2 linked regions of the Sus scrofa genome follow. The protein of the gene in region 1 binds, or shares a complex with, the protein of each later gene. Links are inferred from orthologs where the notes say so. Each region holds a gene or a part of one and is shown on either strand. Other genes may lie near its edges.

Region 1 (3,032 bases):
GTGACCACCGTCATGGAGACCGTTGGCCGGAGGCTTCGGGACTCCCTTGGCCGAACCGTAGACCTGGGGCTGACAGGGAAGCTTGGAGCTGTGCACCCCAGTGTTGCGGTGAGTGGGCCCAGCAGGTGGACATCCCCATCGGTGTCCCCTTCCCAGAAGAGGTGCAACGGGGGTTTTGGGGAGGGCTGCTTGATGCCCCGTCTCCGCCCTGTCCGGGTGGAGAAGGGCCCAGCCTGGTAGCAGGGCCTGAGACTGCGGGAGGACCATGCTGAGCAGAGCCCCCCGCCCACAGGACGGTGCCCACAAGCTCGAGGAGAACGTGTACTACTTCGGCCGCACAGTGGAGATGCTGCTGCTTCGCTTTGGCAAGGTACCTGGGGTCAGGGAGATGCGCCAACATCCAAGTGGGACCAAGCCTAGGAGGGAATCTTGGTCTCCATGGAGGGCTGGGAGACCCCTGCTGGGAGGGCATCTTCTGGGTGCAGAGAGGCTTCTTGGAGCAGGACAGGCAGCCCTACCTGGGCCTGAATCTCAGGACCTGTTCTGTGAGGTTCTTGCTGCTGAAGTGACTTTAAGCCCTGGCTTCTAGTCTCAGCCAGGTGTCCGGGACATGGACTTGTCTTGACTTCTGCCCAGATTTGCACAGAGCCGCCGGGAGCCAGCCTCCCACAGCCCGAGGGGAGGGCAGTGCATGAAGCTCAGAGACGGCAGAGGGGCCCAGGGCAGGGCCTGTGTGAGGAGGTCCCAGGTGGCGAGTCTCCACCCTGCCCTCTGTTCCCAGACCATCGTGGAGGAGCAGTTGATCTTGAAGCGAGTGGCCAACGTCCTCATCAACCTGTATGGCATGACGGCTGTGCTGTCGCGGGCCACCCGCTCCATCCGCATGGGGCTCCGGAACCATGACCACGAGGTGAGAGCCCCCCGCTTCTCCCCACAGGCAGCTTCCCTGCTGGCTTGTCATGCTGCATTTTAATCAGATGTGGTGGTTGTGGGGGGAGGGGGCTGCTGTGCGAGTCCAGGGTCATGTCCCCAGAGGGATGAAGGCGAACCTGGAGAGTTGTGGCTGTGTCCAGTGCTCTCAGCTCTGATGGGCAGGTCCTTGCTGCTCAGGACATGAGGCCACTGCCTTTCATCTTCCTGCCTGAGAGAAGAGGGAGGGTGAGTGGCGGGGCCCCACATCCAGCTCCCTCACCCCATCTCTTGGTGGGCAGTGCAGCCTGAGCACCTGCTGTGTACACGCGTGTCTTGACGCACTTTGGTCTGAGAAGCCCGGAGCTGTGGGAATTATGATTCCCTCCCACAGAGGGGGAAATGGAGGCTCAGGGAGGTTGAGTGACCTGCCCTGGAGACAGAGTCCCTTTGGCTCAGGCTGGAATCAGAATCTAAGGCCATGGCCTGACTCTGGCCAAGCTGCCTACTTTGGCTGACAGACTGTCTTCAGAGGCTCGAAAGTCAAGCGGGGGCGGGGGCGGGTGGGGGCGTGTCCTAAGGCCCAGAGATCTGAGTCCTCAGCAGCCACTTCTATGCCTTGGGTCCTGCCAGGTTCTGTTGACCAACATCTTCTGCACGGAAGCCTATCACCAGAATCTCTTCACCCTGTCCCAGCTGGACAAATGTAAGTGGGTGGCTTGGGGACAGGGGAACGGGGCTCCCAGGGCACTGTGCCCACAGATGTCTGCACCAAGTGAGGCTGCCAGCAGGAGCGCACACAGCAGGTGCGGCAGGTGTTGGCTTTGGCCTCCTCACTCCTTGCGCCCCATCTGACCCACCCAGGGAGGAGCACAGGGTTCTGTGCCCTCTGGGCTCTGGCGGCCCCTCTGTGCTGAAGGGCTGTTAGCTCCTGCTATGGTGGCTGCGGCGGAAGGGGAGTTGACAGGCTTGAATTGCTGAGGGGGGCTTTTTATCCCCTCTTCTCCCTGAGGCCCAGAATCACTTCCTGGGGAGGAGCTGTCACCTCTGCACTCCCTCCTAGCAGTGGCCTTATGTGGTTAGAAAAACTGCACAACATAGAAAGGCCACTCTCTTCTCTCCCAGGTTCTCCAGAAAATCTAGACGAACAGATCAAGAAAGTGTCCCAGCAGGTCCTAGAGAAGCGAGCCTACATCTGTGCCCACCCTCTGGACCGGATGTCCTGAAGTGGAAGGACAGTGTCCCCTGCTGCCACCTGCCCCTGGACACGCTCACACTTTCCAGAAGGCAGAGAACTTGGGTCCTTAAAGGCTGACCATTTCTCCTCCAGCCCCTGACCTGGGGGCACTGCTGCCTGACATCCCACCAGACTCCACGTGGCTTCTGGGAGAGTGAGAACTGCTGAGATTCCCTAGCTCAAGGGACACCCTTTGCCACCCCACTCAGGGTGGGACCAGGCTTGTACCACCCCCTCTGTGGCCTGGGCTGGCAGGGACATGCCTCAGGCAGGGTAGCCGCTTCAAGAAGCAGTTCATACATCACCTGGAATCCGTATGTGTCATTCTTTTAAACTAGAAGCAAAATGCACTTAAAATATGTTCAACGAGAACTCTTTAACAAAGAGAGTGTAAAACGGCACCAATTGTTAGTTTAGCATTTGCCATACTAGGCATGTGTTTCCTCACAACCAGCCTTTAGCACGTGGCAAGTTGACCCTGAGAGATCCACACTCTGGTGACAGCTGTAGGGTCAGGAGCCCTTGCCATTGGTCCTTTCCAGGTAAAGCTGCTGGTCTGTGGCAAGAGATGCTGCTCCCAGCTGGGCTTTCCTCTTGTTCGTCATGGGGACAAGAGACGTCTTTCAGAAGCACGAGCAGGACTCTGTGTGTCCAGGTCCCAGCATGCTCACCTGGCAGGCTTCAGGCTTTGGTCTGGTTCCTGGGTGGTCTGTGCTCCAGAAAGCCCATCACAGCCAGCAGCCAGGCTCTCCCCCTCCTCCAGGTAGGATTCTGCCTTGGCTGGGGTGATGGGAACCGGTTCGAGAGCTGTGCTGGTTCTGGGGGTGGGGCTGAGCCTCTGGCACCTCATCTTCAAAGGTGAGAGCTAATCTTCCACAGGTGGAAG
Region 2 (4,325 bases), on another chromosome or scaffold:
GTGGACAGTCAAACACAGAGAGAGGCATAGGAACACACCACTGTCACGCACAGACATAGCCCCACAGTCAGAATGGACCACTGTTGAGGCACAGTCATAAACACACATTGTCATATACTGTCACTGACATACCGATGGTGGAGGGGCACCCATACGAGTCACACCCATACAAGTCAGGGACACACAGTGTTACAAACACATACCAACAGCTGGACACAACTACATAATGGAATCCCACATCAGAGACCACCCCAGATTGGCATTGTCAGTCAGACCTTTATACCACCGCTGAGACACAGAGTTTCACACACACACACACACACACACACACACACACACACACACACGAAGTCAGAGATTCATATAGGTACAGGCACACACTGGTAGACACAATCACACACAGATATGTAAAGGGCTATAACAGTCACATGTGTCTTGATGGTGGGACAATCATTTATCCACAAGTTGGGGACACATGGGGTGTCATAAACACAGTCATCTACCCACTAGTGTTCAGACATGCAATCACACACACATTATTGCATGGACCATCAAAGAAATGTTGACACACCTAATCCCAGCCCCTCAGAATTCTGGGACAAATTCCACATCCTTCCACACACACAGAATGACAGACACCCAGAAGCTGATACAATCACAAGTGCACATGCAGCTACTGACACGTGGACACACAAAGTCCCACATGTACCAATGTCCACACTGACACACGTGGGGACTATCCCTGACCTACCCTCATACAGCCACACACAAACGTACACACCTTTGTTTGAGTTCTGAGAAACTACGAAAACCCATGAAAACATCCACACTCTATCGCAATCTCACACACACATACGCACACACACACAATTGTGAACATGCACACTACCCTACAGGATCCTCAACCGTCCAAGCGAGGGAGGTGGAATAAGGTATTAGTGTGAATCCCCCATAATAACAGTAGCAAACGCTTACATGGCTGTTCTGCATAGATTAACTCCATTATTCCATAAAACAAAGCCCAAAAAACAAACAAAACAAAAAACAAAAAACCTCTACGAGGTTATTATAATTGGCCATTTCAGAGGTGAGACTATTGAGGCACAGACAGGTTAAGCACTAGTCCAGACTCCAGGAGCTAGATTAGCAGTCCTTCTTCTTCCCTAACGTCAGCGCCGAATCAGCGCCTGGCACACAGTAAGCCTTCAAATGTTCGTTGAAAAAATGAGGGAATCCACATTACTTAGACCTTTAATATTTCATTCCCGTATTTCAGGTGGGCACTAGGACTGTCAGTTGAGTTCACCCGCTGCCTGAGTCCAATGTCCCAGCTCCGAAACCGCACAGTCTCTCCTTCCCGAACCAAGCTCGCTCATTCGTGGGGAGTCCAGCTTGCCTCGTTAGGGGAGGGGCCTGACTCACCACGAGGCGGGGCCAAGGTCGCTGCGCCTTTTTATTGGTGCTCCTTTCTTCGAGGCGGGACCTCTCTTAAACTGGCGCTGTTGATTTGCCGGCTCCCTGGTGGCCCGTGACCCAGAAGATCTTCGTGCAACATGGCGGCGCCCAGGGGCAAGACATAACCGGCCCGGATTCCGCGGCCGTCCGCGTGAATAGGTAGGTCCCACGCGGGGAGGCAAGCGTGAATTTATGAGCCCTGGGGCAGCCCCTTTGGGGCCAGCAGCGCGGAAGGGCGGCCCCAGGAGGATCCCGGCTGCCGGGGCCAGGGCACCGTGACCTTTTCGGGTACACGGCGGGACGTTCCGAGGAGAGCTGCCTTCTGTGTACCCGCCTCCCCACATCCCTAATCTCTAATCTTGGAGATGAGACAGCTGAGGCTCAGAAAAGTTAAAGCCGTCTCCCAAGGTCACGCCACAGGTTGGCAGCTAGGCTAAAGTTCGCTTCTTTCTCCCAAGGGCGTCAAAATCCTAGCAGCCAGCCTCAGAGCTGCTGTAGGTACACCCTGCCTAGGGGTTCAGATTTATAGAAGCTTTGTAGAAATTTAGCTCTTCTTATTCATTTGATATTTGTTGGGTACCTACTATATAGCAGGCACTATCCCAGGTGCAAAAGAGACAGCAAAAAGGAAGACAGACAAAAATCTCTGGTCTCAGGAGAGCTAGACGTTGAACAAATCAGAAGTAAATGAAACGTGACTTCAGATGCTAATTGCTAAAAATTCATTCATCAGGATGATGGGGCTTTAGATTGGGAATGGGGCAGTAGTCAGGGAAGGCGTCTCATTTGAATATAGACCTGAATAACCAGGCACAGCAATGAACTGACCTGGGGAAGGAATTTCCAAACAGGGAAAAGCAACCTCAGAGGCTCTGAGACTAGATAAAGTCAGCTTGTTTAAGAAACAGCGTAATGGGAGAGTTCCCTGTTGGTCTAGTGGTTAGGATTCAGAGCTTTCACCTCTGCAGCCTGAGTTCAACCCCTGATCTGGGAACTGAGATCCCACAACAAGCTGCTGCACACTGCAGCCAAAAATAAATAAAAATTAAATAAAATTTAAAAGAGAAATAAATGGTGTAGCTGGAGCTTCCAGTAATAACAGTTGAGTTTGGAGGGATGGAGCCTGTCTGATTTTTATCTCATGTGATGTGCAATTAGTGACTTTAGCCGGAGAACACTTTAGTTTACATTTTAAAAAAGCTCCCTATGACCACTTTAGGGAGAACTGGCTGGAGGCAGGTAAGGAAAGGAGTGTGGGTAGATGAAGAGAGGTCATGGACTGGAGTTGTGGCTTGCAGATGGAGAGAAATGGGATTGTTTGAGGTGGATCTGGATGTAGCAACATGAGCAGCTGATGAATTGGTTGGGGAAGTGAGGAACACAGTGGACTCAGAACCAGGTTTGTGGTTGATTGACTAGGAATGATGGTGTAATGACATCAGGCAAGGATGAGATGGAACAAGTTTAAGCAGGGGCATAAGTTAGGCGCAAAATAAGTTTGAGATGGCTAGGTATACACCAAAGTGGCAGTTAGGTATGGAAGCTGGAGCTCAGGGATGGTGATAACCATTGGGAACTATCAGCACATAGATCTTCATTTCTCAGACTTTAACACACATAAGAGAAATGTGGACTTTTGTTTAAATGCAGATTCTGCTTCAATAGGTCAGGGTTAGGGCTGAGATTCTGCATCCAAATAATGATGCCAATACAGCTGCTCCCTGAATAGCAAAGGTTTAGATTAAGGTCTAATCTCAGCTGGATGTTAGAGTCATTGGAGTGCTTTAAATGCTGATGCCTGGGCCCTACCTCTAGATATTCTGATACAATATATCTGGGGTATGGCCTGGGCATGTGATTCTTTAAAGCTTCCTAGATAATGCTGAAATGAACAAGGTTTGAGAACTATGAGAGCTGCCTACAGAAATACAGAGAGAACACCTCTCTTGGAAGCTGAATGATACCTTACGGTAGCAGACAGACAAGTTCAAAGTGTAGGACTCTTTGCAGCATTATTACTCAAAAGACAGCATTAAGCATCACATAGAAGTTTGTTAGATTAAAAAAGTCTTTGGCTCCACCCTAAACATTCTGAATCAGAACCTGCATTTTAACAATATTCTCAGCAATTCATCTGCACATTCAAGTCTGCAAGCACTGCACACTTTAGAGAAGGAAGCCAGTCTTTCTGATTGGCTGAGAAACAGGCCTGGGGGCTAGGAAGAAAATCAAGAGTGCCAAGGTGGGAGGAGGGCATCACCCATTCCAGATACTTCTGAGAAACTGAGCAAAATGAGGCCAGAGAAATAACCACTGGCTTTGTTAAATGTAGAACGTGCAAGGGGTCTTTACAGGAGTGGTGTCAGTGGAGTGGCTGGGACAAGAGCCAAACTGGAGACAGTGAAGAAGTAACATGTAGACCCCTCTTGGGAAAAGCTGTACTATAAATAGAGCAGAGATGTGGAACAGAGGTGGAAGGAGATGCTAGAGAAAGTTTAAAGGGTGATATGAGTGATCCAAGTATGTACCAACTTATTTTATGAGGCCAGCATTACCCTGATACCAAACCAAACAGACACAATAAGAAACAAAAACTACATCCCAATATCCCTTACCAATATGGTTGCAAAAATCCTCAACAGAATACCAGCAAACCAATTTTGGCAACATAAAAAAAGATTATATACATCATGACCAAATGGAATTTATCCCAGAAATGCAATATTGGTTTAATATTTGAAAACCAATTAATGTAATGTACTTTTCTTTTTTGGTCTCTTTGGTCTTTTTAGGGCCACACCCGCAGCATATGGAGGTTCCCAGGCTAGGGGTTGAATTGGAGCTGTAGCCGCTGGCCTACGCCACAGCCA

What was found.
Region 2: the proteins of ACAD9 (region 1) and ECSIT are in contact, whole or in part, in a cryo-EM structure (PDB 8PHE), measured with the Homo sapiens proteins. The link is inferred for Sus scrofa from reciprocal best matches to the Homo sapiens genes ACAD9 and ECSIT. Residues at the interface, in NP_054768.2 of Homo sapiens: Leu180, Thr181, Asp188, Ala189, Ala190, Ser191, Ile192, Lys228, Lys239, Asp240, Lys241, Ile242, Phe293, Ala296, Met297, Leu300, Ile431, Met434, Tyr435, Leu438, Thr439, Leu441, Gln442, Gly445, Thr449, Leu516, Gly520, Lys521, Ile523, Met524; in NP_057665.2 of Homo sapiens: Pro321, Glu322, Glu323, Trp324, Asn325, Leu326, Tyr327, Tyr328, Pro329, Met330, Leu332, Asp333, Leu334.

What each region holds. Positions count from the first base shown.
Region 1 is NC_010455.5:71,419,936-71,422,967, forward strand, and holds the end of ACAD9 (acyl-CoA dehydrogenase family member 9, mitochondrial), read left to right. Parts: coding exon 1-108; intron 109-292; coding exon 293-370; intron 371-781; coding exon 782-910; intron 911-950; exon of another isoform or gene 951-1,106; coding exon of another isoform or gene 1,107-1,141; intron 1,142-1,542; coding exon 1,543-1,615; intron 1,616-2,034; coding exon 2,035-2,135; 3' UTR 2,136-2,457; downstream 2,458-3,032. UniProt on the Homo sapiens protein: As part of the MCIA complex, primarily participates in the assembly of the mitochondrial complex I and therefore plays a role in oxidative phosphorylation.
Region 2 is NC_010444.4:70,167,902-70,172,226, reverse strand, and holds the start of ECSIT (evolutionarily conserved signaling intermediate in Toll pathway, mitochondrial), read left to right. Parts: upstream 1-1,464; 5' UTR 1,465-1,614; intron 1,615-4,325.